Linked DNA regions of Mytilus edulis. The protein of the gene in region 4 purifies or fractionates together with the protein of the main gene of each other region. This does not show direct contact. Links are inferred from orthologs where the notes say so. Each region holds a gene or a part of one and is shown on either strand. Other genes may lie near its edges. The genes, in order: cytochrome c oxidase assembly factor 7-like, FAD-linked sulfhydryl oxidase ALR-like, microtubule nucleation factor SSNA1-like and mitochondrial intermembrane space import and assembly protein 40-B-like.

What was found.
Region 1: the proteins of mitochondrial intermembrane space import and assembly protein 40-B-like (region 4) and cytochrome c oxidase assembly factor 7-like purify together in Homo sapiens (co-immunoprecipitation; 3 studies listed by BioGRID and IntAct, with this or other methods). This does not show direct contact. The link is inferred for Mytilus edulis from reciprocal best matches to the Homo sapiens genes CHCHD4 and COA7.
Region 2: the proteins of mitochondrial intermembrane space import and assembly protein 40-B-like (region 4) and FAD-linked sulfhydryl oxidase ALR-like purify together in Homo sapiens (co-immunoprecipitation; 3 studies listed by BioGRID and IntAct, with this or other methods). This does not show direct contact. The link is inferred for Mytilus edulis from reciprocal best matches to the Homo sapiens genes CHCHD4 and GFER.
Region 3: the proteins of mitochondrial intermembrane space import and assembly protein 40-B-like (region 4) and microtubule nucleation factor SSNA1-like purify together in Homo sapiens (co-immunoprecipitation; 3 studies listed by BioGRID and IntAct, with this or other methods). This does not show direct contact. The link is inferred for Mytilus edulis from reciprocal best matches to the Homo sapiens genes CHCHD4 and SSNA1.

What each region holds. Positions count from the first base shown.
Region 1 is NC_092344.1:118,813,633-118,821,251, forward strand, and holds the start of cytochrome c oxidase assembly factor 7-like, read right to left. Parts: upstream 3,022-7,619; 5' UTR 2,953-3,021; coding exon 2,829-2,952; intron 756-2,828; coding exon 603-755; intron 1-602. UniProt on the Homo sapiens protein: Required for assembly of mitochondrial respiratory chain complex I and complex IV.
Region 2 is NC_092352.1:29,570,000-29,576,847, forward strand, and holds the start of FAD-linked sulfhydryl oxidase ALR-like, read right to left. Parts: upstream 3,022-6,848; 5' UTR 2,986-3,021; coding exon 2,884-2,985; intron 1-2,883.
Region 3 is NC_092345.1:24,957,485-24,964,403, reverse strand, and holds the start of microtubule nucleation factor SSNA1-like, read right to left. Parts: upstream 3,016-6,919; 5' UTR 2,895-3,015; coding exon 2,843-2,894; intron 1-2,842. Other genes in the region: uncharacterized protein, read left to right, coding at 3,503-3,530, 3,863-4,134, 5,829-5,924. UniProt on the Homo sapiens protein: Microtubule-binding protein which stabilizes dynamic microtubules by slowing growth and shrinkage at both plus and minus ends and serves as a sensor of microtubule damage, protecting microtubules from the microtubule-severing enzyme SPAST.
Region 4 is NC_092344.1:2,158,778-2,166,129, forward strand, and holds the start of mitochondrial intermembrane space import and assembly protein 40-B-like, read right to left. Parts: upstream 3,011-7,352; 5' UTR 2,962-3,010; coding exon 2,940-2,961; intron 2,356-2,939; exon of another isoform or gene 2,335-2,355; coding exon of another isoform or gene 2,325-2,334; intron 1,515-2,324; coding exon 1,425-1,514; intron 1-1,424.

The DNA.
Region 1 (7,619 bases), about 120 Mb from region 4:
TTGTCTAACCTCTTGAAAGCTTTCCCTTCAGCATAATATATGTTTGGCTTACCTCTTAAGTCTCAAATTTCCTTTCAACATTATGTGTCTGTCATGTCTCCCTCAAGATTTTCTTTTAACATTATATGTTTGTCTTATCTCCCTCAATCTTTCCCTTCATCATTATTTGTTTGGCTTACCTCCCTTAAGATTTCCCTATAGCTACAGCCTTATTTATTTGGGTTACCTCCCCATGATTTCCCTACAGCCTTATTTGTTTGGCTTACCTCCCTCAAGATTTCCCTTCAACATTATATGTATGTCACGTTTCCCCCAAAATTTCCCTTCAACATTATATGTATGCCTCGTCTCCCTTAAGATTTCCCTTCAACATTATATGTTTGTCTTACCTACCCATGCTTTCCCTTCAGACTGTTATAGGTTTGTATTACCTCCTGAAAGCTTTCCCTTCACTATAATATATTTGTTTCCTCCCCAAAATTTTCCTTTCACTATAATATGTTTGTCTTACCTCCCCCAAGCTTTCCCTTCATTATATATATAATGTGAATATATGTGTACCTCCCCTGATTTTTCTCTTCAATATTATATATTTGTCTTACCTCCCCCAAGCTTTCCCTTCAGCATCATATGTTTGGCTAATTTGTTACAGCTATCCCCATGTTCATTATCATCACAATTTGTTTGATATAGCTTCATTGCTTTCTTTTTGTCAATTTTGATTGTGTCATAAAATGATGCTAATCTATAACACCCTGTAAAAAAACAAAGAATTTATGAAGTGTGATAATATACAATCTTTTATGGAACCATTTATATATTAGGTTAGGCATTTCTCTTTTTTTCCCTTCAAATACTGCCCACATTAATCAACATGTTGAATGTAGTGGCAAGTTCAGCATGTATTTTAAAACCTGTTTCTAAACAGTTTCCTTTTTTAATGGTTTTACACTAGTAATTTTGGGGGCCCTTTATAGGTTTATGTATTGTGTAGTTCATGATATTCAAACTGTATGTATACTAGACTATTGTTTTTTTCTTTTTGTTATTATCTTATTTATGTCTTAACTTATTATCTTATTTATGTCTTAACTTGTACTATGCTCCTTGTGAGACCTTTTAATGGAAATAAACATCTTCTTCTTCTGCTGTTCAGTTTGAGACAAGGATTCGTGTTGAAGGCCATACTTTGACCTATAATGATTTACTTACTAACCCCACAAACTTCACATCAACCTCATTAGGTATCAAAATCCATACTGGACATCTAATAGCGAGGACTTGTGTGCATGTGGGTTGTGTGATGACAGATGTACTATTTTATTTTGCCAGAGTGGCTGTAAAAAAACTTATTTTGACTAATAATTTTGTACATCAGACAGGACTTTCGACTACAAAAGACTCATCAGTGACACTCCAATCAAAGCACTTTAAACCCCAAATAAATTAAAAATTGGTTGAAGAGAAGAGTCATTGATGACCCAAAATTCTGAAAGTTTTGCAAAATGGGTCTCACTAATTTGCAACAAGAAGCGTCAAAAGCAACAAGAAGAAGAATTTAGCGTCAAGAAAACTTTTTAAAACTTTTATTCCAAATAAATATATATAAAAAATATACCTTGACATTTTTTTAATATATAGGCAGTAATAAAGTGATTTTCTTTTATTATTTATTATATTGATAGATGAAGAAATTAATCATTCGTCATGAAAGAAGTTTTTATTAAATATATTGAATATGTTTAAGTTTTAATTTTGGAACACCAGGATTAAACTGTTTGCAAATAAGAATATGCATGTAAACTGTATTTCGTTTACTGTATTTCCAGAGTAATCTCCAGAGTCAACAAATAGTCATATAGCCCAGCTGAAGTTGAAAAAAGATGAAATGCCATTACCATCCTCATATTCTTGTAGTCTCAATGGATTAAAAAATTATTATTATTGCAAAAAATGTGGCAGGGTTATCATGGTTATAATCAAAGCAATAATTTAAGCTCGCATTTTGATTTTTTTAATATGAATTAAATAGGATTTTCCTCAAATATCGCAATATTACAATTGAGTTTTAGTTTAAAATGAGAAAATCACAATAATAAATTCACACAAAAATTTCTGAATTTACAATAATTAACTATAGGAAATGAATTTTTGTATTGAGCTTCCTGTTCAAGATATAGATATCAAGATCCAGGAAAGGGCAGTGTTTGTTGTAGGTATTAGCTTTATTCAAAGTCAGTTCGTCAGGATAAATCTCTTTAGGGTACATACTGAAGTTGTCATTATTGAGAGGCGATATATCATCTAAATATCTAAAAGTGTTATTAAGTTTTTGATACAGATGTTGTTATAATGGGTCTTTGCTGATTTCAGTCATAATTTACAACTCAGAACAATACAGAAACAGGTCGGCAATAAGTGGTGCACAGTTAGTCCCCATGGGAATTCTGATTATTTTTTCTATACATTTATATTTATTGATAGAATAATAACTTTCTTGTCGCTAAATTTAGCTTAATTTGTTTTCTCGTAGCTGAATAGTCTTCTTGTCGCCATAATTTTTCTTGTCATATATTTAATAGTGAGACCATGCAAAATACATCTCAAACATTATCATCATACGGGTTTTGATCATCAGATCATTTTCTATCATAGGAACAGAAAAAAAGGTTAAAATCGACCTCATCCATATTTTTGAGCCTGACAAAGTCTTTACTATAAATGTTACTTAAAGATATTTATATCCGGAAAAGCGACCAGTATTCATTTTCTTTCACAAATTATTCGATTGCGTTCTCCAATTTATGTTGTCCGATTTGCAAACTTACCATCAGGATTCTTTTCACTAAAGCAGTGGAATGAATACTCGATTTCTATATTTTTAAGGTAATGTTTTACATCTTCTTCGTTCGACAAATCATACGAATAAGGGGTACTGGCACTTGTTGCCATTTTATATAATTGAACAAGTGCGACCTTGAGTTGTCGAAAGTTGAACTGTGGTTTGCCACCAGATGGCAGTTCGCGCCAGAATAATCAAGTAGTAAGTAAAACGTTCAACAAATGTTCGATTTATTTCGATGACAGCTTTCGTTGTTGGTTTTGACAATTATTTCGATAACATACTGTGTTTCCCATTATATTCTTCATACATTTCAAACTGTTGACAGTGCAAGGGTGGTGCCAGATCGGGTTTTTAATGTTTGACAGTTGGCATGTTTACATCCCAGCGGCCATGTTTGTTATGTTTTCATCATTTTGAAGCAAAAAAAAAGTCCTTAAGTTATACGATGTGTGATTTTTCTCAAATATTGACCAGTTTCTGTAAACTTATAATTTGATTTTATTGTCAACTGCATCGAACCGATGACTGTCATAAGATGTATAATACTTCAAAAGTGCTTTCTGTTTTGTCAAATAAGTGCACATGTTGATTTCATCAGATACCAAAATACACTTAAAGCAAGTACCTTAATTGATATCTTTAAAGAATTTTCTATTTAAATGTCCTCTTAAGCGTATAAAACTTGCACATACAATATTATATTGTTTGTGAAGAAAAACTTCCTGGTATAGACAATACTTATTAGCACAAACACATTTACATTAAATGATTATGGCATACAAAATTATATGTGTGTTGGCTAATACACCTTAGTGCTAATCCTGACTGACCCTAAAATTTGTCCCGCTTGAACTATCAACTTCATACAACAATCACTTTTTCATTGTGGCATCAGATATCTTGTATAAACGTATTTACACTTTTGGTATTTAGCTGTATTGTGCCTCCGAATGACCTTTATATATCACCTCCGAATAACCTTTTGACGTCAAGCAACAATCACCTTTAAGTTGTGACGTCAAATGTTTTGAATTATGATGTCAACATTTACGGGAACCTGTGTGATTTTAAGTAATGGCGGACAAATTTGCATACAAGTGTAAATACGTCAATTATGACGTCAAAATGTACGGGAACTTGTGTGATGTCCAGTAATGGTGGACAAATATGATAAGGTGTATAGAAACTATAGACTACATGTAGTTACAATGAGGGGGGTAGGAGGGGTCCTGATCCTGAAATCCCGGGCTTAAAAACACGAAATCATGATCAGGGCCCAATTTTAAAAAATCTAAATCCTGAAGTCCCGAAATTTGAAAAAAAGAATTTCCGGATCCCGAAAGGGTCAATTCTGAAACCCCCAACTTAAAAACACCCGATCCCGGAGTCCCAATAAAGGTCCTATCCCCCCTCTACAATGTAAATACAATACGCTTTATTTTAAAAACACTTCAGACTTCAACGCACGAATGATGTTCACGAAGATCAAAGTTTTTGACGGAAATGCATCAAACTCGAAAGTTGTCTATCATGTCTATTGACTTATTGTGCAAACCTATTTAATATCTGACAATAAAATTATGTACATGTAAACACTCATGATTCTTGACTTATCATGTAAAACAGTGATTATATTAACCAGAAAACAGTGACTATAGTCAATACCATCGTACTTCACAGAAATGCTGATACAGTACTTACTTCTGTCTGCTTTCTTTCAACCAAGAGAGTTAAAACAAGATGCATTTCTAAGGTTTTCATAAGTATTTATTAAAAGGTGTGTTGGTTGTCCTTAAGTCAGTACAGTTTTATTCTTTTATTTATAAGAGGGGAGATTGATCATGATTAGGGTTTTATTTTATTTTCGATAAATCGTTAAGTGGGGCAAGTTTTTTTCAATAGAATTTTAATCTTTTTCATAAGTAGGGCGAGTTGTCTGATATATTTTCAGTGTGATTTTTCCCTTATTAAAAGAAGGGCGAGCTGGTAAACAAGAGAGGGGCGAATTAGTGTGGGGTGATTTGCCAGTGGGGCAAGTTGTCATGAATTTATATAACATGAACAAAAATGTACCAACTTTTTAACGACAGACATAGTTATTGTTGTATTCAGCAACAGCTAGGGGGTTCACTTGAATGTGGCTTCTACAATAGGTTTCATGTCATTCTGGCCTAAGATGTTTTTGCCCCATGTTTGAAATAATCTATACCATAGGGTTAAAGATTAAGTACACTTGCATAAGAACAAGAGAAAAAACAATGGAATATTTTTTAAACAATTCCCTGTTAACATGGTTAAAATGCAGGCACATTTGTCAACAATCCTATATAATTGTTAAATGAACAAACAAATTCACACAATGTCATGAATGTGTAGCAGTGATCTGGAAGGATTTTTTCACTATGGGCCAGGCCCCCCCCAACAATAAATTCAATGGGCCATGTTGTCAAATGAGTGGGCCATTTAAATTGACCACTGTAAAAAAGATTGGTATCAGTATATTTGTGCAGAGAGGTGGTGGTACTTTAAAACCTTTATGATTTTAAATTATATCATGGATATTGTTCCTGTGATTTTGTAATTTCAATTTCAATGAATATACAATAAGTTATTTTAACTTCCTACAAACCGGACAATATTTAAGATAACCTTTATTTACAATATTCAAACTGGTTTTGTTGCCTTGTACATGTTCATGTTTTTTTTGTACATTACATTTGGGTCTTCGTCGAAACCATACTTATTCCAGACGTTCCGTATCAGAGGACATTTCTGGCATTTCCTCTGCACTTCTTGTATTATTATTACTTCATGACAATGACAAGACTAACAGTAGAGAGTATCGTTAATTGATAGAACAAAACAACAATTCGCTGAAGTCATGTTTACAAAATGTCAAAACGAGCCAAAGACCAAAATATGACAAGAACAGTTAAGCGCCTTTTGTGGAGACAAAAAACTATATTCATTCAAAGGCTTTGGGGTTTTTCAATCGAAATGATAGCAAGCTAAACTAACTTAAAAGATTATAATTAGAGATAAATCTTGTCTTTACTAGCCAAATTTCACAAATTTAAAGTTGTTTTTAAGAAATTATATCAAGAATGATAGTTAATTACGTTTTTTGGGTAATCAGTTAAACCGCATGGTTCTATTATTACCATACGAAAACACTCGAGACGTTAAACCGCATGGTTCTATTACAATATGAAAACACCCGAGACTCCCAAAAATATATAGGTGCTCCTATCATTGGAGGAACATTACATAGTTGTGTATACACACATGGCGGTAAGGAACACGATCGGAAATCCATTTGACGATATCTAAAGGTTTCGAAACGAAGTGAAAAATATCGTGCGCCACGTGGGCGCTTACATTTGTCACTCTATGCGCCATTTCTGGTCGATATGCGCTATTGGCGCAGGGCGCACGTCCTTCCCGATCACTGGTGTAGTTGGTGACAAGTTAAACATCAATTAATCAATTGGTGACAAGTAATTACAATGATAACATATGTTCAATATAAAAAAGTGCCAGTATATGCACTGCAATTGTCCGTTTTTTTGCAATGATCATATTGTAACCACCACCAGTGATAAAAAATACTGGTCTAAGTCTCATTTTGGCCTTCAGTGAACTCTTTTGAAAGAGATGAACATTTTGTGAAAGGCTTTAACACTCTTTTTTTTGGGGGGAAGGGGGGGTCTAACCTTGTTTTACTATTTGGATATTGGGCCCTAATTTATATTTGGGTCTACATTGATGTCCAAAGGGTCATTAAACTCTGTTTGATCAAAACCTGAATTATTGTGGCTCTATAATATACTGAATCTTATATTGTGCATTTATATTTTTTATTTTGGGCCTTGTTTTCACCCAATGCTGGTGGAAGGCATAATCATCCTGATCTACAGATCACCAAAGGCCATGCCTACATACATGTAGGATACAACGTGCGTTTACAAAATATTTTGTACACACATTGATAATTTTGTATTAAACACAAACTTTTTTTAATGAACCCTACTCTTGAAGTATTAAGGCACATAGTAACGTTCCTCATATCAAGCTTTTCAAAGCTTTTAACATCGATTTCCAAACAAATGCTTTGAAACTCTAAATGCAAGTATTCATGTCAAATGCTCACATGATACCAAACGGACTAGACCTTATACGGGAAAGATAAAAACCCGAGAATTCCTGTAAAAAAGTTTTGAGCGGGGAAATACAAATATAAGATTTTTTGTAGGAACGGAAAAATAAAATAATATAAAATCTTGCTGGTAAATACAAATAAAAGATTTTCAGGCGGAACGAATTTATAGGGTCGGTCGGTAAAGGGCAGACAAACAATATTTTAATTTAAGCCATACATGTATCAATGAAAACAATGGCAATTGTATCCCTCAGAGCAATCATGCTCTTTGATATTTTTTCCTTTTGCAGATAATTTTGAAAGTGCAAATGTTAACTGTAACTCAATTTTGATTATTATCATTTTGCAATTTATTAAACATTATATATATATGTTATGACTCAAATATGAATTATTAATTTCAGAGATTGGTTTGAAGACAACACGATACAGGTGTAAAGATATAGATATGTCCATTGAAATGTCTATCTGAAAACAGGTACAAATTAGAGATCCAAAATTGTGATAACTAGAAAAAGAAGAAATATTTTAAGATACATTATTTTACATGTTGTAAGGATTTCTTTTCTATAAATCCAATCTAGAAAAGAAAGAAATCTAAAAAAATTAAAAGAC
Region 2 (6,848 bases), on a different chromosome or scaffold from region 4:
TCATAGTTGCAAGAATAGTACTTTTCTAAATGTATATACACTTTTATTATCATTCTCAAACAATTAAACTAATTTATAAATCAAAATGTGTTTATAAATATCTTAAATGTATTGCAATTGAGTTTGATCACTGAATCCTCTTTAAAATTCAGGCCAGTATTTTATCTTACCCAGTATTACACATTAAAACCCAGTAAAACCCGGGTTTTCCTAGTATTTCCCACTGGGCTGGGCAATACTCATAAAACCCGGGTTTTTGCCAACCCTGAACCAGATTGCCAAAAACATGGACCAGGGGCACCACACTGACATCATCTTACTGGATTTTTCAAAAGCCTTCGACAAGGTAACACACGAACGCTTGCTTTTGAAACTGGCACACTACGGGGTGAAAGGATCAACATTGAACTGGATAAAGGACTTTCTAAGCAGTAGAACCCAGTCAATTGTTCCAGAAGGACATACATCAACTCCTTTAGATGTAATATCAGGAGTTCCACATGGAACAGTCTTAGGTCCTCTACTATTCCTGACATATATCAATAACATGCCAGAGTGTACATCTTCAGATGCAAGGTTGTTTGCGGACGATAGCCAGCTGGTGTACAGGAAAATTAGAAATCCTGATGATGCTGCAACTCTACAGAGACCTCACTGCTTTGAAAGAGTGAGAACACAAGTGGCAGATGTGTTTCCATCCAGAAAAATGCACAGTCATGAGGATATTTAACAATCGCAACACCCTGCAAACAACATACACCTTGCACTGACACCAACTAGAAGTTTTTGATAGTTGAAAGTACCTTGGAGTTAAATACAGAATATTTGCCAAATTTATATTAATTAAATAAAATTCGTGGCTGCATTGTTACACTTTATTTTGTAATTACTTTTAATTACTTTTAATTACTGTTGATTGAATTTTCATTGCTGATTAGGTATCATTTGAAATCTTTGATATCACTGCTGATTGTTACATGTATATGATAATGAATTGTTTTTGATGGATTAATAATGAAAATAACATTTTTCTCAAATAAAAAAGTCAGCTTGGATGGGTAGAAACACTGATGACAAGTGATCAATGTACAGCAGTGTGACTGTGTTTTTGGTATTTGTTTCACTAATAGTAATTCTATTTAGTGCTTTTAAATATTTGTTTAGGAAATAAATGTGTTAAAATGTATCAATAAAGTTAAATATAGACTTAGTCTTTAATTGTTTTATGTCAAATACTTTGTAGTCTTTGAATTCGCAGAAACTTATCCTCGTAGCAGCAAGACAACATAATACTGAACTTATAGTCTTCAGTTGTTCAAGTTTACACAGAAAACATATCATAAATAAATATTCGGTGAATGTAAACTTCAACATATTCAATTTCATACAAATAATTTAGTCTTCAGTTGTTTTACATTTAAAAGAACAATGTAGGGCTGAAATTCACAGAAACTTATATTTCCTAGTAACATAATTACATACAGATACAAACTTAAGTCCTCAATACCTTGAAGCCACAATATCTTGTAGTCCTGAAATGTACAGAAACTTATACAAATGTTATAATCTAGTAGCTGCTAGCTTTAGACAAGTTAACATGATTCATCGTAAATATTCGACGAAATTGTAGCTTTCGGGTCGATCCGGCCCAAGTCGATCCGTCCCACGTCGATCCGGCCCCACGTCGATCCGGCCCCAATAAAAAATATATTTCTAAGGAATAAAAATAAATATATATATATTAATTGTTATTCATAAATGTTTATTATTTTTATTATAATGTTAAAAGTGTACTATGTGTACGGTAAAAAAAATTAAAAAAGGCCTTTGAAAAATATTTTCACTATACAAATCATTGCGTAACTTCAGTAATCAGCATTAGATTGAATTAAGTGATTACGAGTGACATTACCTTAGTTCACAATCATCAGACAACTGTTGAATATACAAACCAATTATAGAATAATGATTTGATCATTAAATAAGTCATTATGATGCGTTAAATTTTATAGCCGGGTCCATTGGACTGTAAATATTTATTTAACTATTCTGTGTGTGAACTGAATCAAATAAAAATCGCTATGAAATTCAAAGTAAAAGCAGAGACATATATATATATGTCTCTGGTAAAAGTTATCATGGAAAATAACTTTATAATTTAAAAATGTAGAAACTGCGATACAAACAGACACAATAACACTCATTTTTGTATCGATTTAAAAATGGTTCTTTAACTGGTACTCCAATACTTCACTGACCTGTTGTCATCCATCATCGGACACTTTTTTTTCAAATTCCATTTATACTGTTAAAATTTGTGACAAATTTCTCCAAAATCAATATAGTTAATTCATATTTTATTATGGGCCGGATCGACTTGGGGACGGATCGACGTGGGCCGGATCGACTTGGGCCGGATCGACTTTGGGCCGGATTGACTTGGGGCCGGATCGGTTTGGGGCCGGAACGACCGGATACCGAAATTGTAGACTGACTTCAACACATTCAATTATATACACACAACGCAACACTATACTAAAAAATAAAATCAGGGCGAACAGACTCGGGGCAAACAGGTATTAGGGCGAACAGAAACTAGGGCGAACCAGAATCAGGGCGGACGGACCCGGATTCCAGGAAAGGCAACCAGGACCCTCGGGTTTCTCCGCAGAAACCTGTGCCGATGTAAACTATAGCATTTGATTACAAAAAACTTGCATTATATGTCAATTGGTCTATATATCAATATATGTCAATTGGTGGATTATACATCGAGGTAGTTTCCGATCTGATGAAATAAATTATGCCGGGATTACGTCAGACAGTCATAAACGACATACATTTCAACAACAACCTGTATATTTCCTATAAACAATATATAACCTTTTCTGTTCCTCCTGTCCCCTTAAACCAAGTTTCAACGTCTACACATGTTCGACAAGGTTTTTTGTCTGGATCAACGAACGTTCCACTGGAGGCTGACATGTTGGGTGCGTTTTGATTGAAACGGTAGAGCCTATATTCATGATCGGCGACTTCGATCCCGTGAAGTAAAGTATTTTAATGGCATATATTATGCTTTTTCCTTTGCATTTTCCCTTATAAATATCCCTTCTTGTATAATGAATTCCGGATTTCTACGTGTTTTTTAATGTGACTGATTTTTTTTCTGACATCAGACATTAAACAATTAAGGAACGACTAATTAGTTTTCTTTCTATGAAGAAATAACATAAAAAATTTGGTCACACTGAATAACGCCCCTAGCGGGTTATTTAATAGTGTGCACCACATTTTTTATGCTATTTCGAATAGACAGAAAAAATATTACAGTCATTTCTTATAATTTAATTCTAAATTCCATTTTAAACCGTAGAAAACCACGAAAAACGTTGATAACGTCACCGTCACATTACTAAATTATGTCTATGGGCTGATAACAAAATAACGTCAGCCAATAAGAAGACGCGTTACATCCAAAATTAAATTATTAGACAATAGACAATATTTATTAGTACAAACGCATAATGTCATTTACATCATAAATGGTTATGGCATGAGACTACTATAATGTATTATAGTAGTCTCAGGTTATGGCATACAAAATTAAGACAATATACTGACAAAAAACAGCTAAGAAAAAAAAGACTATAAATATGTCGTTCGCCGTCGTTTGTGTTCATTCACAAAACACTGTTTTTTTTTTTTAAACTGGTGTTAGTGATTGCAGAGACACAAAATACAATGTCTCTGGTGATTGTCAGCATTCTTATCAATCAGCTTAATTTCATAAAAGGTTACCATGCCCCAAATTGTATTAACAACAAGTCACACTATATGTAGAAGTTTTAAAACAAAAGTGTTGAAAATAGATAGGTTATATAGATGATCTTGATTATGTTAATTTCTATCTGATTCAGATGAATGTATATACGATAGTATAACTTAGTATATAATTATTTTAAGTAAGTATCTCCAAACGTGCTCACTTTATAGTCGTCTTGTCGTCAATCGAAGGTGTACTTGAATTGGTCTATATTTATCTTTGTTTTAATCAACATCTTAATTTATAACCGTATAATTCGCTAGACATCTATATAGCAACCAATTGCCAAATGTGAGAGTACAGGGGGGGGGGGGGGAGCTGTGTATTTTCTATACAATTTTCATATGCCAGTTTAGCATTGAATAAATACAAAGGTACTTAAACTTTTAAAAGATAACACAACATATAATAAATTTTTTAACCTCTTCATGTTTACACTCTAGAGAAACTAGGGTGGGGCAGGGACTTTAGTATAGAAAGTCCCTGGGTAGGGGAGATCAATGTTAAACGGCTACAGGATTAGATAAAATAGCAACTAAGATATTGCGAGCTAGAGCACTGACTACTTTACCAATAAGATTGAAAATGGAAATGGGGAATATGAGAAAAAAGAGAAAACATTAATTTTCAGTAACAAAACTTCTATATATGACCTGTGTTAGTCAAATGCGTTTTTTTTTTAATATAGTTTTACATGCACACGTATAAAAATTGCTGTTTTTATCCAACGCAAATAGGTGGGGCCTTTTATAGCTGACTATGCGGTATGGGCTTTGCTCATTGTTGAAGGCCGTACGGTGACCTATAGTTGTTAATATGTGTCATTTTGGTCTTTTGTGGATAGTTGTCTCATTGGCAATCATACCACATCTTCTTTCTTTATATTGTCATTGAACGTACATTTTTTCAATTTAGACTTGTTCATATTATATATATATATACATATAATATATATCTAACATTGTTGGGTTGATGTTTAGACGAAGTTGTATATACATAATGTACACAGCCATGTATCACCATCATTGCTGGTGATCCGATGGATAATGATCTGTTGTAGAGTTGTCACTGACTCAGACGTACTTTTTGATATAATTATTTTCTGTGACTGTATCCTGCATTAATTTGTCAGATCCTTTACTATAGAAAATTGAGCTGATCTGTTACAATAACATCTCCATGCCTTACATATCATGTACTGTAGTACGCCGCTAGATTAAAACTGACGAGGAAAGGTAACACACGGCTACCGAAAGCTTAATTATTAGAAGCCCAGGTGGTCGTGTAGTCTAGCGGGACGGCTACAGTGCAGGCTATTTGGTGTCACGTTATATCAGTAGCATGGGTTCGAATCCCGGCGAGGGAAGAACAAAAAAATTGCTTTCTACAGATCTAACATTGTTTGGTTGATGTTTAGACGAGTTGTATATATATAGATAAATATAAACGAGTGTAAATTGAAAACTACGTTCAAACCTATGATTGCGTTGGATAAAACCCGCAATTTTTATACGTGTGCATGTAAAACAAATTTCGTTGTAGAAGGGTCAAAAAACAGCACAAACAACATTTTCCAAAAGACCAAAAAAGTGAAAAAGTATATTTAAACAAAACGTATTTGACTTGCAACTAGTGTTCTTTAACCCTGCTGACTGCCGTTGGCGATTGCCAAATAAAATTGATCACAAGATGTAACAAAATGGATCTTAATATAAATTTAATACTAAACAGAAAAAAATAACTTGTTGCCACGATGTTATGCCACAAACATACGGTGTCAATATATTTTTAGTTCACCAGATGTCTCTTCAAGTGATATTATAGGGATCGAAACGGTATTTGGAAGGCCATATAAAAAGTACCCGCATTTTTAGATAGACTCTTGAATTTGAAGAGTCAATATAGGATGAACGGATCATATAAACCAGAGGGAAAATATGAAACAAGCCCAAACGAAAAAATATAAACGAATCTAAATTGAACACTACGTTCAAACCTATGATTGCGTTGGATAAAAACCGCAATTTTTATACGTGTGCATGTAAAACAAATTTCGTTGTAGAAGGGTCTAAAAACAGCACAAACAACATTTTCCAAAAGTCCAAAAAAGTGAAAAAGTATATTTAAACAAAACGTATTTGACTTGCAACTGGTGTTCTTTAACCCTGCTGACTTCCGTTGGTGATTGCCAAATAAAATTGATCACAAGATGTAACAAAATGGATCTTAATATAAATTTAATACTAAACAGAAAAAAATAACTTGTTGCCACGATGTTATGCCACAAACATACGGTGTCAATATATTTTTAGTTCACCAGATGTCTCTTCAAGTGATGTTATAGGGATCGAAACGGTATTTGGAAGGCCATATAAAAAGTACCCGCATTTTTAGATAGACTCTTGAATTTTAAGAGTCAATATAGGATGAACGGATCATATAAACCAGAGGGAAAATATGAAACAAGCCCAAACGAAAAAATATAAACGAATCTAAATTGAACACTACGTTCAAACCTATGATTGCGTTGGATAAAAACCGCAATTTTTATACGTGTGCATGTAAAACAAATTTCGTTTTAGAAGGGTCTAAAAACAGCACAAACAACATTTTCCAAAAGACCAAAAAAGTGAAAAAAGTATAAATATATATATAGTGTCTAAAAATAACAACAATCAACATTCAATCTATCTAGGCGTGGATCAGTTTGTAAATAAACTGATGCAGTTACTAAATTAAATTATATAAGTGTCTAAGTTAGAATGTAACTTTAACACACTAATGAATGTTATACAATTAGTTGTTATATTTTATATATTATTCACGCAATATTTCGCTAAACAAATTAGCTTCATCGGGCGTGTGCATCTATCTAGTAGGTGAAATCGGATGCATGACAAAAAATATCTTTGTAGCTTGAGCTACACAAAATTTTTGTAAAATTTAACATATTGATTTATTGATGCATGCTCTGTATAAAACATATTTTTGCCGTTTATTGTACATAACATTTTTTTAAATC
Region 3 (6,919 bases), on a different chromosome or scaffold from region 4:
CTTTAAACAAGGGTATGTCGGGTAACATTGTATATTATTATTTGGCCTTATTAAATATCTTGGTCATTTTATTTTGCTTAACTAAGTTCATTTGTAAACAAATGACCCCCCCTTATTTTCTAAAAAGATTTGTACATGTATTTCAAAAGCATTGTCATGAAATTTATATCTACTCTGAATCTGATTTTATCTTTTTTGTAAACTGTTTAGTCAAGTAGGAAACTGAAATCATTTTGAACTTATGTTATTTATTTGTGGTCAACAATATTCTACTTTCGTTTTAGACCTTCACTCTCTGGACACCACATGGGCTTTGAAAAGGGACTACAAAACTACAAAAGGTACTGTTTTCCAGATTCTTAATATAACAACATTACATGTTATACTTTCTTTTCTCTAATCCTTCGTCAATTTATCCCTTTCTGCACCCATTGTATAAAAAATTTAATCAAAGTGTGGTTCGTTTGATCTCAGTGCTTCATTGGTTAAAATCCAATTGTGACGTCAAATTTTCTTGCTTTCCTCTGAATTTCCTATTGTGACGGCATGAAAAAAGGCGACCGTGTCTGATGACGTCACATAGAAAGTACACATCTTTTTGCAGATCATTCGAAAGAAAGGAATACGTTTGCCTGCATATTGTTTAAAAATCATTAGAGATACAGATTCTACCACCAAATCTAGTGTAATACGATATTTATCCACTCTCGACAGTTAAATTTTAAATATTTAAATCGCTCGGCGAGCCTTGAGTTTTATATTTGAAAATTTGACTGTCTGGAGTGGATAAATATCGTATTACCTCGATGCAGTGGTAGAATCTATATCTATTTGTCAGACTGATATCATTTCATAATATTCTATTATCATCTTCTTTGACTAACTTCGCTTTCTTGAAGCCAAAACCGAACAATTCTTGATGACTATAAGTATTGGAATGTCTCTCTTAATATCCTTCATGTCCTTACAAACATTTGATACTTTACGACTTTAAATGGACGACCAATCAGTGACCTGAATTAACGTGAACTTATAATATTTAGTCAAAGCTTTAAGGTAAACACTGATTTTACATCCTTGTGTATTGCGACCGTGACTTTACGACAATACTTCTCTTGACACTTGCCTGTATACATTTTAAACAGATTTTTTTCTTCTTTTTGATTTGATATTTTTTGTCAGTGAAGCAGCCCACACTTGGAGCTAAAGTAAACAGCTGATTTCCTTTAGTCAAGTACTTTTTTTCAATTCGCCACCTGGGCTACCACAACTGAATAAAAAGATTGCCCAGGTCAATTTCTGGTCCCAATGGGCGACCATTAATTTTTTCCTTGTAGGGCTATTAATATTATTTCAAAACATGAAACACTTTCCTATATGTGTATGCTAATTTTATCTTGTAATCAAATATAAGAATATATCGACAGATACATTATGTAGGATAAGAATATTCAGGAAATTTTGTTCACCCGATAGACATGAAAGAGGGTGGTAATGGGGGTAAAAATTTTAATCAATTTGAAGCTAACAGTAGCCGAAAATTGCTGTTTGACGCCTGACGGTAAAAGGCATTACTACCCTGGCCTCATCATGCTCATGATAGAGAAACAGATCCTGCTTCACTTGGAATCGGTCTGTTCGCGCCCATTCATGTTCGTGCCCTTTCAATTTCGCACCCTACACGTTGGCACAGGTCTCAAGTCTGTTTGCACCCTACACGTTAGCGCACAATTTTTATTGGTATTATTTATATCAGTATTCTCCCCATGGCCTTTTAGCATCATGGCAATGTGATGCTATATTTTTTAATGTGATGCTATCTGAATTCATTTTCTTATAGATTGTGTTATGGATGTGATGCTATAATTTTTAGAAACCAAATGCTATTTCAAATTTCCTTTTTCACCAGGATGCTATATGAAATATCTGGGGAGAACACTGTATAATAATATAATTTAAAAATCGAGTTTTGGTAAGTGTATGGCTATAAATATTTTTTGTTCATTGTTTCTACATATAGTGAGATTCTGACAACGTTTTTTTAATGTGTTGAATAAATCTTAATCATGTTTAGGCAAGTGTACTGCTCTATATAAAAAAATTAATTCATTGTTTCTAAGCATTTGCTAAGTAAAGTGAGATTCTGACAACGTTTTTTTTATGTGTTGATAAAATCTTAATCATCATGATCATGTTTTGGTTAGTGTATTGCTATAAATATTTTTTTTACATGAGTTCAAAGGAACCAAGATCTATGTAAAAAACAATTATCTTGAAAATGAAAGTCAAAATGCCGAAATCGATGGGTAACTGTGAAAACTTAAAATATGGAAAAATAAAGGTTCGCAGGTAGGTGAAACTTACATAAATGAAGAGATAAATGAAAAATTAATAGATTGATGCCCGATTTATATAATTCCAAGGCCGTCAGTCGGCATCAATAGCGACGAAGCAGCGCATCTCTTTTGGGTGGGCATTGCAAATGTCCACTTTTTGATATGGGACGAGCTCTGACGTCCCACGGCCCCAGCTTGTCTGGCAAAACAGCCGTTGGACGTCAGAGTAATCTTGGACTATGTACAAATGTACCATAATTGTCTACCATGGTACCAAAATAATCTTGATGACGTTCGTTCAATTTTCTGATTAATTATTTCGACTTAACTACTTGGTTCAATAGTTTTCTTGTGTTCAAAAACTCTCTTAAAAGGAAATTTTGATAGAAAACTAAGTTCTGGAATTATATATCGTATTTGTGTGTTTGTTTTGGACTTGGTTTTATAAAAAAATCTTGAAATGTTTGTTACGAATGAAATGCTAAACTTTAACGGTTGTTACTTACATTTTACGAGTTCGTTATTATAACTCTGTAAAGCAGCCCCTTGTTGCGACATATTTAGGGCGCTTGAGAGCAAAAAAATGAATGAAGTAAATTTGAGTTTCGCTGTCAAAACTTGTTTGCACTTTTTGTGTTGATAAGCAAAAATGAGTTCTACGTCATAAAGAATGTTGTTCAAATTAAAAGTGTTTCGGCTACGGAATAATGACGATATTATTCCGGATTTTTCTCGAGTCGCCAAAAACGTATATATTTAGGATAGATAAGAAAGAAAAAAAAGAAATAAAGAAATATAGGATAAGGAATTGTTGAGACAAATAGAGAAAAAGAAATTTTCAAGCGTTCGAACTTTCATAATTCAATTACCCCCTCCTTTAGCACCCAAAGTAAATAACGGATCGAATATCACATCACTGAATTTTAAGCTGTACGTACGTACAGCTTAATTTACTGCTAGTGAATTGAAAGTTTAAATACAAGTGTGTTTCTGTGTGAAATTCTTTTGTGAAATAATCAATAAATGGTTAAGATTATTGTTAATTTTTTAAACCAAAACAAAAATGTAATGATTACCATAACCGGTTTCTGTTAAAAAATATATTTATTATAACTGAATTTTACTTTTTTCTTGCAGATTTTTAATTATGGAAATCAAACACAAAGATGGGTGGAATTTGTGACAAACAACAAGGTATTGTTTTTAAACTTAAAATAGAAATGCATTGCTTCGGTCGGTCAATCTTATTTGTTGAAATTTTGAGACATGATCAAATGAGAGTCAATCATCATGTCGAAACTCATTTTTAATATTAACAACAGATTAAAGACTGAGTCACTCATTAAACGGAAAGAAAAATAAATTCATCAATAAAATTAGTAATTCTTATATATATAACGATTTCATGATACATGTATATGTGAATATTCCTTCATATTCGTCATGTGTCAGTATCTAATAATTTATGAACGAAAATACATTTGAAATTTACACATTACAATATTTCATTCGGTATATTTTGATAGGCTCTAAGAAGCTCCACAAACTCAATATAAGGACATTTAATCCAAAAGTTAGACCTGAAATGGCTGATGGATTAAATGAAATTCCATTATGGGAGAAAACCTACGAAAAATATGACAAAAAGCAATTAGCACACGAGTGTTCACGACTTCAGACGGAAATTAAAGGAAGACTTGATAGACTGAAGAAAGTAGACGAAAGCCTTACTGGAAAGGAAAAAGAAAGCAAAGAAATTATCGATCAAATTACCGAAGCAGAAAAAAACTTTGCAAAGGTAAACTTGGATATCTTTTGATGACTAAACTATTTTTTTTCTTCTTTATGAATAAATTCCGTTTCATGTCGTGTAAACATTTAAGAAGGGCGAATGATACCAGAGGGACTTCAAATTCATAAATCAAAAATAAACTGACAACGCCATGGCGAAAAAAGAAAAAAAGAAAGATAAACAGACACACAATAGTACACAATACACATCATAGAAAACTAAAGACCATAAACAACTCAAACTCTACACAAAACTGGGGGTGATTTCAGGTACCACGAAAGGGTAAGCAGATCATGCTCTACATGTGGCACCTGTCGGTCGTAAGAAAACACTTCAGAATCTTATACTTTGAATCACATTTTTATGTATATTTCATCCCGAATATACTTCAGTAATGTGGAATCTCAGTTGCCCTCTTTGCCACAAATGTACAAAAAAAAATTCGGTGAAAAGGAATGGAAAGAAATACACCCAAACACACTATCAAATTATATTTTATTTCATTAAAGCTGATCTAGGTTATGTTTTACATGAATCTTTTTAGCAATTTTAAGTTCCACTTACATACAAATGTAAACATGATAAAGATAGGAGTGTAATATAATTTGAATTTTCTTCAAGACTTCGAGTTAAACATTGAATTACAGTTTTAGTAAGAATTTGAGTATAACCTTGAGTTAATATTCAAGTTCTAGGTTAAAACTCTGGGTTAATTTTCGCTTTAGAATTAAGGTTCGAACTACTGCAGATTCAGGTTGCAGCTAAACTACAGAGCTTGTTTTTATTCTTATTTATTTTTTAATTTTTGATTTTTACCTCGGATGTGACCTTGAGACCGGTGTTATGTTGCCGCAGAAATTTCTACACACGTCCCTTGTGCGCTACCCAAACCGTGAAACGTATTTCGTATATTGAATACGTGGATATTATCGAGTGTGACATAACATTCCTGATTGCTTGTTATAAAATCATTTCTTCAATGAATACTCTTGATCATATTTTTATGACATCTTTACACTAAATCAATTGGATGTTGGATGTGTACTGATTGATAATTCAGTCTTATAAAATAGTGGCTTTGAACTAGCTGTCAGTATATGCGAGTACTCCCATATCTGTATTTAGTGTCTTAATTTTTGTTGTTGGGATATCCAAGAACCCTGCCACGTCCACTTATGTAATTTTGTAGTATTTGTATTAATGTCCATCTGATGAGTTAAGCCTTTTTCAACTGATTTTTATAGTTCGTTCTTATGTTGTACTGTTACACCACCGTCCCAGGTTAGGGGGGGGGATGGGATCACGCTTACACGTGTAACCCCGCTACATTATGTATGTGTGTGCCTATTCCAAGTCAGGAGCCTGTAATTCAGTGGTTGTCGTTTGTTTATGTGTTTCATATTTGTTTTTCATTCATTTTTGTACAAAAATGTTGCCGTTAGTTTTCTCGTTTGAATTGTTTTACATTGTCATTTCATGGCCTTTTATAGCCGACTATATATATATGCGGTAAAGGCTTTGGTCATTGTTGAAGGCCATACGGTGACCTATAGTTGTAAATTTCAGTGTCATTTGGCCTCTTGTAGAGAGTTGTCTCATGGGCAAACATACCACATTTTTTTTATAATAGATAAATTATATGAAAATATTTTGCCGTGAGAAATTAACGCATGCCTTCACAGTCATCTTTTGTTTTGCAGATAAATGAGACGTCTAAACTACTGATCAACAGTTTAAAGAGACAGACAACTATGCTGAAAGAAAATCATACTTATGAAACAAATAAAGAAATTTGATTAGAAGAGTTTTTCTTATATGTTACCGTTATGAAACTGATATTTGAGATTGTACTTCCATAAAGAAATAGAGAACCATCTAGGTCGTTTAATAAACATTTAATATACGTTCTTGCTCAAGGGTTTGTTTTGGAATTATGCGCATGCGTATTGTTTCTTGACTTTAAGGAGTTTTAGATTGAATGGTTGCTCTGGATTCCCCACTCAATTAACTAATTTATAACTCATGGGATCCTTTCTATGTATGTCTTCTATTGAGAGTTATTGTTGTTGCATAATTTTAAATCTTATGCATCATTTAAATCAAAATAAATGTAGTCCGCATCGTAAAACACCCCTTCAGGTTGCAGTCTTGTAATTGACTGCTCCATAGGCTTACATGCAAAACAGCTGATCTTTGAAAATAAAAAAATAAAAAATGCTACATAGAAAAAAAAATTCATGTTCATATCATGTATGTACTAATGTGAAATTGTGATTTAATCGAAAAAAAAGGGGGTCTTGCCACAAAGAATAAAAAGTTACGCAATCCTGAAGTCAAAACATTTTTTTTCTACTTTCTGTTTGCTATTTTTACTAGGACGCACCACTTCCAGTAAACATGATATCCTTCCACTTTCCTGGATTGATATCCCCAAAAGATGCAAGATTTTTTTTAAAGTCTATATATATGTTTCAATTCAGCATAAACCTATAATCAAACAGAAAAAATTGAGTTCAGAAAAAAATTCAGAAAAAAATGCACTATTTTGTTTCCGTCCATGTTTTGACATGCACCGGAAATTGGAGTTGTAATACAAGACTGGTACCTTCAGGCGAAATGGAGTCTTCCATATTATCGTTTCTAGTTGTCTCCCTTCCGGAAGTAACTTCTATGAATTCTGAATCAAAACAACACTTCGAGCTAAGATCAGCTAATGTTCTGTCAATAAACTTCGTGTTATATTAAAAACCGAGGAATGTGTACGGAAAGGAGTCCTGATCACTGACCCAAA
Region 4 (7,352 bases):
TATGAGGCTATGACGTCATCTAGTGTTGGGACCAAAGAAGATAACATCTTTTCACAGAATTTTCTTTATTGAAGAATTTACACTAAAATAATGATTGAAATTTAATTATGAACTTGTTTTGCATTAGAATAGAGATAACTGTATTGTATTTGAAGCTTTTCGGACGTCTATTGGTAGTTTTACTGTCGCAAATACCCATTTACCTGTCTCCCCTACGTGTCACCAGGTAAACTAAATTTGCGACAGTAAAACTACCGATGGACGTCCTTAAAGCATCAACTACAATATAGTTATCTCTTAAATATATCTCTGTACAAAGGGAGATAACACAAAATATAATTCATGAATTTAACTCTTGAAAAGTGACAGATATATTTGTTCATTCTTTGGACTTTGTTTATCATGTTTATAAGCATATTTACACTAATAAATTCATTAACTCTGTAATTTTACACAGCTACTTTTGCATAGGTACTATTTCTGTACTACACACTGTACTAAAAATCTGTAGTACTGGAAATTTACTTTTAAGATTCAGTACTATTTTGTTACTTTAAAATTATTGTAATATTTAGGTACATGTACCTGTATTTTACAGTAATTAATTTGTACTTGAAATTTATGTACTACAGATTTTTGGTTACCACTGTTACATTTTCAGCATTTTGAAAGTTTTTCTATTTCAAATCTCTTAAAACTATGATTTTCAAACATGGAATATTGTATTATTTCTGTACCAAAATATTAAGTACAATTCAAGTACTGTATTAAAATACAAGTACCTAAATATTACAATAATTTTATAAAGTAAAAGAAATAGTACTAAATATTAAAAGTAAATTTCCAGTACTACATATTTTTAGTACAGAAATAGCATCTATGCAAAAGTAGCTGTGTAGTACAAGCAAAGATAAAGTATATCAACATGTATTAAGTAAGTATCAAAGTTAGACGACAACTTATAATTAAACAAGAATGTGCCCCATCAACATTATCATTTTCTATGTTCAGTAGACCTTGAAATTGGGGGAAAATCTCTAATTTGGCATTACAATTAGAAAGCATAGGGAACATGTGTACTAAGTTTCAAGTTCATTGGACTTCAACTTCATCAAAAACTACCTCGACCAAAAACTTAAACCTGAAGTGGGACAGACAAACGGACAAACGAACGAACGGACGCACAGACCAAAAAACATAATGCCCACAAATGAAGCATAAAAACAGTGCCCTTATATAAATCGTGAATTCATTGATATGCTTTCAATGGTTGGAAGGTTGTTCACAGTTACATTTTTAACTATTTATAACAAAAGAACTCTGAGACTTAGTTCCATTTGAAGGCATTGCTACAAAATATAGGTTCTACTTCTAGAACATGTATCAAGTTTATCCCAAGGGATGTGCCAGTGTTGTAATCTTACCTGGTTCTTCTTTGGGTTTTTCTATAACAATATTGGCTTTGCAAGGCTGGTTCAAGTCCTCTACAGTTGCTATTACAACTTTGTCTTTCCCTGAAATTAAAATTTGCATACAAAATTATTCATCACACAATGACTAGTATAATTACACCACATCAGGGACAGTCCTACATGTCATAATTTTAAATTTGCATTATCAATTATATTTAATCAAAAGTTGTACAGTGAAACCTGACAACAAATACCAGAATCTTGTTTCAGTGATCACCTGTCTGTAATTTTCAATCACTCCCCCTCCCCAAAGGAAGTTTACTCTATATAAATGAACTCTTTTCAACATGTTCAATGGTCATCTAAGTTTTGCACAAAAACATTTTAACTTTTAACAAAAGCCATTCTAATTGTTGAGCTACATGTACAGTGTACCAATATAAGCATGACTGAAAATATAAGGTCATAACAAAATGTCGAAATTAAGTTTTGAATTGAAAACCGTATCACTATATCAGTATATTATAATTCCCCCTTGAAGAATAACATACATGTACATGTATTTCAAATGTTTTCTTCAAACTGCAATGTAGAAACCTGCCATTGCTTATTTTATTGCTCACAAGAAGGGAAACTCTACATGTACCTACATGTAAATAAACACTAAAACAATTTTCCTCTATACCAGCCGCAGGTCATATCAGAATAAGACTATTTCTGAACATCGTTTGAAAGGTCACCTTTCTCATAAGCAGTCACTTTGCATACTTACCATGAGTGACTGCTAATAGACTGTATTTTAATTACGCTTTTAATAAGCAAAATAGGTCAGATTAACATTTATCACTATTTTTCCAATAATAAAATGACATTAAAAGAAGGCGTCACAACATAAAATTAAAATATCCTTACAGGATATCATTAATTACTTGGACTAGACATGCTACAAACAAATCTAGACGACCCCTAATTGAACTTTGACGTAAACAGTCATTAGAATCAGAATGTAACCCTTGGCTTGAAAGGGGGTCTCATTGGGGGGTTCTGATCCCGGATCCCGCTTAAATTTTGTCAGATTCCTGTATCCTGCTTACACTATGTACGTAAGAAATTCTCATTTTTTTGTAATTACCCATGTCCCGCTAGACTTCATTTCCCGTTTTCACAGCACAATAATTTGACATTCACGCGTCACGCTTACCAAAAAATCAGCAATCACGCGTGACGCTTAGACTCCAATGAGACCCATTTGAAAGAGAAGCGTGGCAGTGCAGGATACAATATACTTGTACTATTATTATTTCACCATCGTTTATCATGATTAGTATCATTACCTGTCTTTGTACAGTATAGTAAAAAGATCGATTGCATAAGAAATCCTAATGTATATACCCCAGTTGAATTTGTAAGGAAACAGACCGGAATGGAGAATGTTCGTCCGATTTTTGACTTTGTGCACAGGTTTTGAATTGCTTAAAGTAACTAGAGTTAACTGTTTGAACGATTTACACTTGTGAATAACCTTACCTTCTTCAACACAGTAAGACATGTTGCAGGGAAATATAAGAATGGGGAGAGAAACTTACGGTCAATGTTTCTGTACGCTGTTACCTTCCTCCTATCTGAGGAGCACTTCTTAAAATGATTTTTTTTTAATATTTTAAAAATTAGTGTTTGACAGAAAAGAGAAAATATAAAGTGATATTTGCGATATTGAAGATGTCTGTAGGACATCAGCTATTTTCTCTTTTCTGTCAAACACTAATGACTGGTTGAAACTTTCCCAAAATCACGGTCTTGAAAAATAAATATTAAGAGTCTCCTTATTCATAACAAAGACATAAGGGATAAAGCATAAAGCATAACAGATTTATTTAAAGTCGGTTATGTAGAACTTATGTTGTATTGTTATATGTATAACCGACTTTAAATAAATCTTTTATGCTTTATGCTTTATGTCTCTGTTATGAATAAGGAGACTCTTAATATTTATTTTTCAAGACATTTTGGGAAAGTGATATATATACACATATGTGTAATATGTCTCTGCTCATAAGACGCTGATAGCACTTAATTAGAACATGAAAATAGGAAGGTAATGTTTAGTTTTGTTTATAATACTTATTAGGTGTATAAAAATATGCTTGATACATACTTAAATGAATACTTTATTGCAAAAAGCATAATATATGCTATAGCAACGAAACAGCAGAGATAAGTAAACATAAATCATTAAAGAAAACAAATAACATTAAGTAACAATTAATATGATCTGATTGACCACGCAGATTTTATGTAATTTCACATTTTTTTTTAATATGTAAAATATTCTATGTAGTATTGCTGCATCATTACAGTTTAATTTACTCAAGATATTTGTATACTAGTTGTATGAGCCGTTGCCAATTATTGTAATTGAGTTTGTGCCAATAAAATATTTGTATTTGAATTGTAAAGCAGACATTATACTTATATATCAAAATGGTCATTGAGTGTTAATATTTATTTAATTAAAATTAAATTTGCAGTATTTAGAAAAGGTGTTTCTTTTTAGCTAAGAACCTAAATGTCAAACTAATGTTTAGTATTACTACAACACCTTCTGCTATTCTGTCGCATAGTTTGTGTTTATGTATGTATTAAATGTATCTATTGATGCTGATGTTATTCAAATTTGTACCTATAGTTTTGTAGACTTTGGTAATAAAGATTATGATCTATCAAAATAAAGCTCTAGACTAATATGGCAGTCATCTCCGCACTTGGTAGATTCCCTTTATAAATTGACATACCGGTAAAACTTACTTTATGTTCATGTACTGATTTATACTTGAACGCTTTCCAAGTGGCTTTTTCAAAGTGAATTTAAGAAATGATATTCTTGGTTCTTGAAATTAATGTTCAGTAATGAATACCCTCTGCTGTTAAAATATCTGCTGTCAATTATACCTAGATTTGTCTCTCTTTATTCACAAAGTTAGGTCCAATATAAAAAAGAATATGTCGTATGATTGCCAATGAAACAACTCTACACAAGAGACCAAATGACACAGACATTAACAACTATGGGTCACCGTACGGCTTTCACCAATGAGCAAAGCCCATACCGCATAGTCAACTATAAAAGGCCTCGAAATCACAAATATAAAACGTTTCAAACGAGAAAACTAACGGCCTATAGTTAATGTACAAAAAGACGAACGAAAAACAAAAACAGCAACAAACAACAACCACTGTCGAAAGGTTTCGGGAGAGAGTTCTCACTGATATCTACATGTATGTCAGAAACTATATTAGATTTGTTATAAGTTAGGGAGAGAGTTCTCACTGATATCTATAGCAGAAACTATATTAGATTTGTTATACGTTAGGGAGAGAGTTCTCACTGATATCTATATCAGAAACTATATTAGATTTGTTATAGTTTGTATAGTTGAAGAGTTACAAATCTGTTATCAACAAAGTCGACAATTTTATCGTAGGTGCTCTAGATATTTTATAGGCGGATTTATTATCATTAAAAAGATTAATTTCAAAATCTGAGTCCTAACCAATGAGCAATATCGACAATCGCATGGATATTCAAAGATTATTACAGAATTTATATATCAGCTTCACCTTTAAAACATCAAAAGACTTTCACCAAATTCCGTACAAGGTACTCACTTTTCTTCTCAGCTGCATATATATATATATATATATCAATAGGAAATTCCTACTTGTGTTTAAATTAGGGACCTTTAAATAGTTAAAGAACTCACTCCTCATTTAAACTGTATCATCAAATACATATTACACCATTTCAATTCAAATGAAACAGGATTTACTTATTCCAACTAACTCATCTTTGATAAAGATAACATGACCTTTAACCTAGGTACTACAAAATCGATTAATGAAGACACGAAATAAATCAGGAAGTTCAACTCGTACGTCGGTAAACTATAAATGGACAATCATAAGACAAAATCAATTTGACTTCTCAATTTTAGACTATTACCATTAAATCATAGTTGTTTTTATATCCTTAAGTTGAACTTCCTTATTTGCCTAATGGGTCTTTACTGTATATAAATATATATAATTCATAGATTTGAATAAATACTGAAGTCACCGGCTTGTTTAACCTCGATCATTCATCCATGCTCTTTTCCTTACCACATTGTTTAACCTCGATCATTATATCCATGCTCTTTTCCTTACCACATTTTTTACTAAAATGATCAAATTCATTAATAAATATCTACAATATACAATATTCGTCCATTATAGTAAGGTTGAAGGTTGGTACATTTAAACATTTAAACATTTAAACCCGCTGCATTTGTTTGCACCTTTCCTAAATAAGAACCTGTTATTTAGTAGTTGGCGTTTGTTGATGTGGTTCATAATTGTTTCTCGTTTATAGGTTGGTTTTCCCATTTGGATGGTTTTACAGTAGTAGTTTTTTAGGCCCAATATAGCTTGCTGTTCGGTGTGAGCCAATGCTCCGTGTTTAAGACCGAATTTTAAATAGTTTTTCTTTTTACAAATTGTGACTTGGATGGAGAGTTGTCTCCTTGGCACTCGTACCAATTCTTCTTAAATCTGTTATAGGAAAATATATAGGAACATGTATATAAAGATAAGGAAATATGGATTGAATGCCAACGAAACAGCTCTTTATCAAAGTTCAAATGAAGTAGTTGTAAGCAATGATAGACAACCGTACGGCCTTCAAAAACAATTATCTGACGAATTCTGAAAACAGATAGTACACGAAACTCGCGAACCCCGTTTCGTAACAATTACACATAAATGATACATTTTCTACATTGCACGAATATGGGTTTTATCTTGCAATTCAACATATTGAGCTTTAAGGTATAGTTTAGATTTGTTTCTTCATCTTAACCGTTGTTGAATGAAATAGACATGATTTAGACTCGGTCCGCAATGTCAAAGTCTTCTGAATCTACTTAATATCGCTTTCTGAGAGTTTTGATGACCTTTGTTCGTTTACACCTTCATCACCCGCTATGGTTTCATTACGTTAGAATATTCTTTTTGCACTGCGTTTGTAATTTCTCAAATGTTTGAGAGATTATGCACTTGGCAAAGGATGTACAAATACATTTTCTCAAGCATACATTATTTCTTGGGATCCAAACATATTTCAGCATGAACAATTTCGAAAGGTAATATTTCATTGTCCTAAGTTTATAAAACCCTAACACATCAGTTGGAGCTATAACTTCAAAATAATTATGGATTCCATTAGGTACTACGCTCGAACATAGGCTAAACGAAGAGGAGTTGAACTGGACGCTTTGTCATAATAGGTCAAAACAATCAGGTCTCATAATTGGAAAAACTGTGTGAATGATCGAGTACATTTTCAGAGAAACTGTAAAAAGTCTAATATCTCTTCATGATAAATGTGTTGTTATTCCTGCGGATAAACAGCTTTCAAATAATGTTGTTTTCTGTATATAAATCGTACTAATACGAGAGTCTTGTAAAATAATTAGGAATAATTCGGTTAATTCCCCATACAAAAACATATCATTTGACCAGGATGATATTTTGACGAGTCATAATTCGATCGTGGCTATAATGAAAATTATATTAAACAGCAATTCGGAGGAATTTCCGTGTTTGTGTTGGATACACAAGCATCAGACAATTTCGTACAAAGACCGTTTTATTGCACGCTCATCTGCATTTTTTAAAAAGGAATTGTCAATTTTAATAAAAAAAAAATTCTGTTCACAGTTAAAAGGAAAAAAAAAAATATCATCTCCGGGGAAAGTCTTCAATCAAATGGCAAAATCAAAAGCTCAAACACCTAAAACGAATGATAACAACTGTCATATTCTTGTTTTGATACAGGTATTTTCTTATGAAGAAAATGACGGACTGAATCTGGACTTATAGCTTTTACTTGTATGACATTCGCAT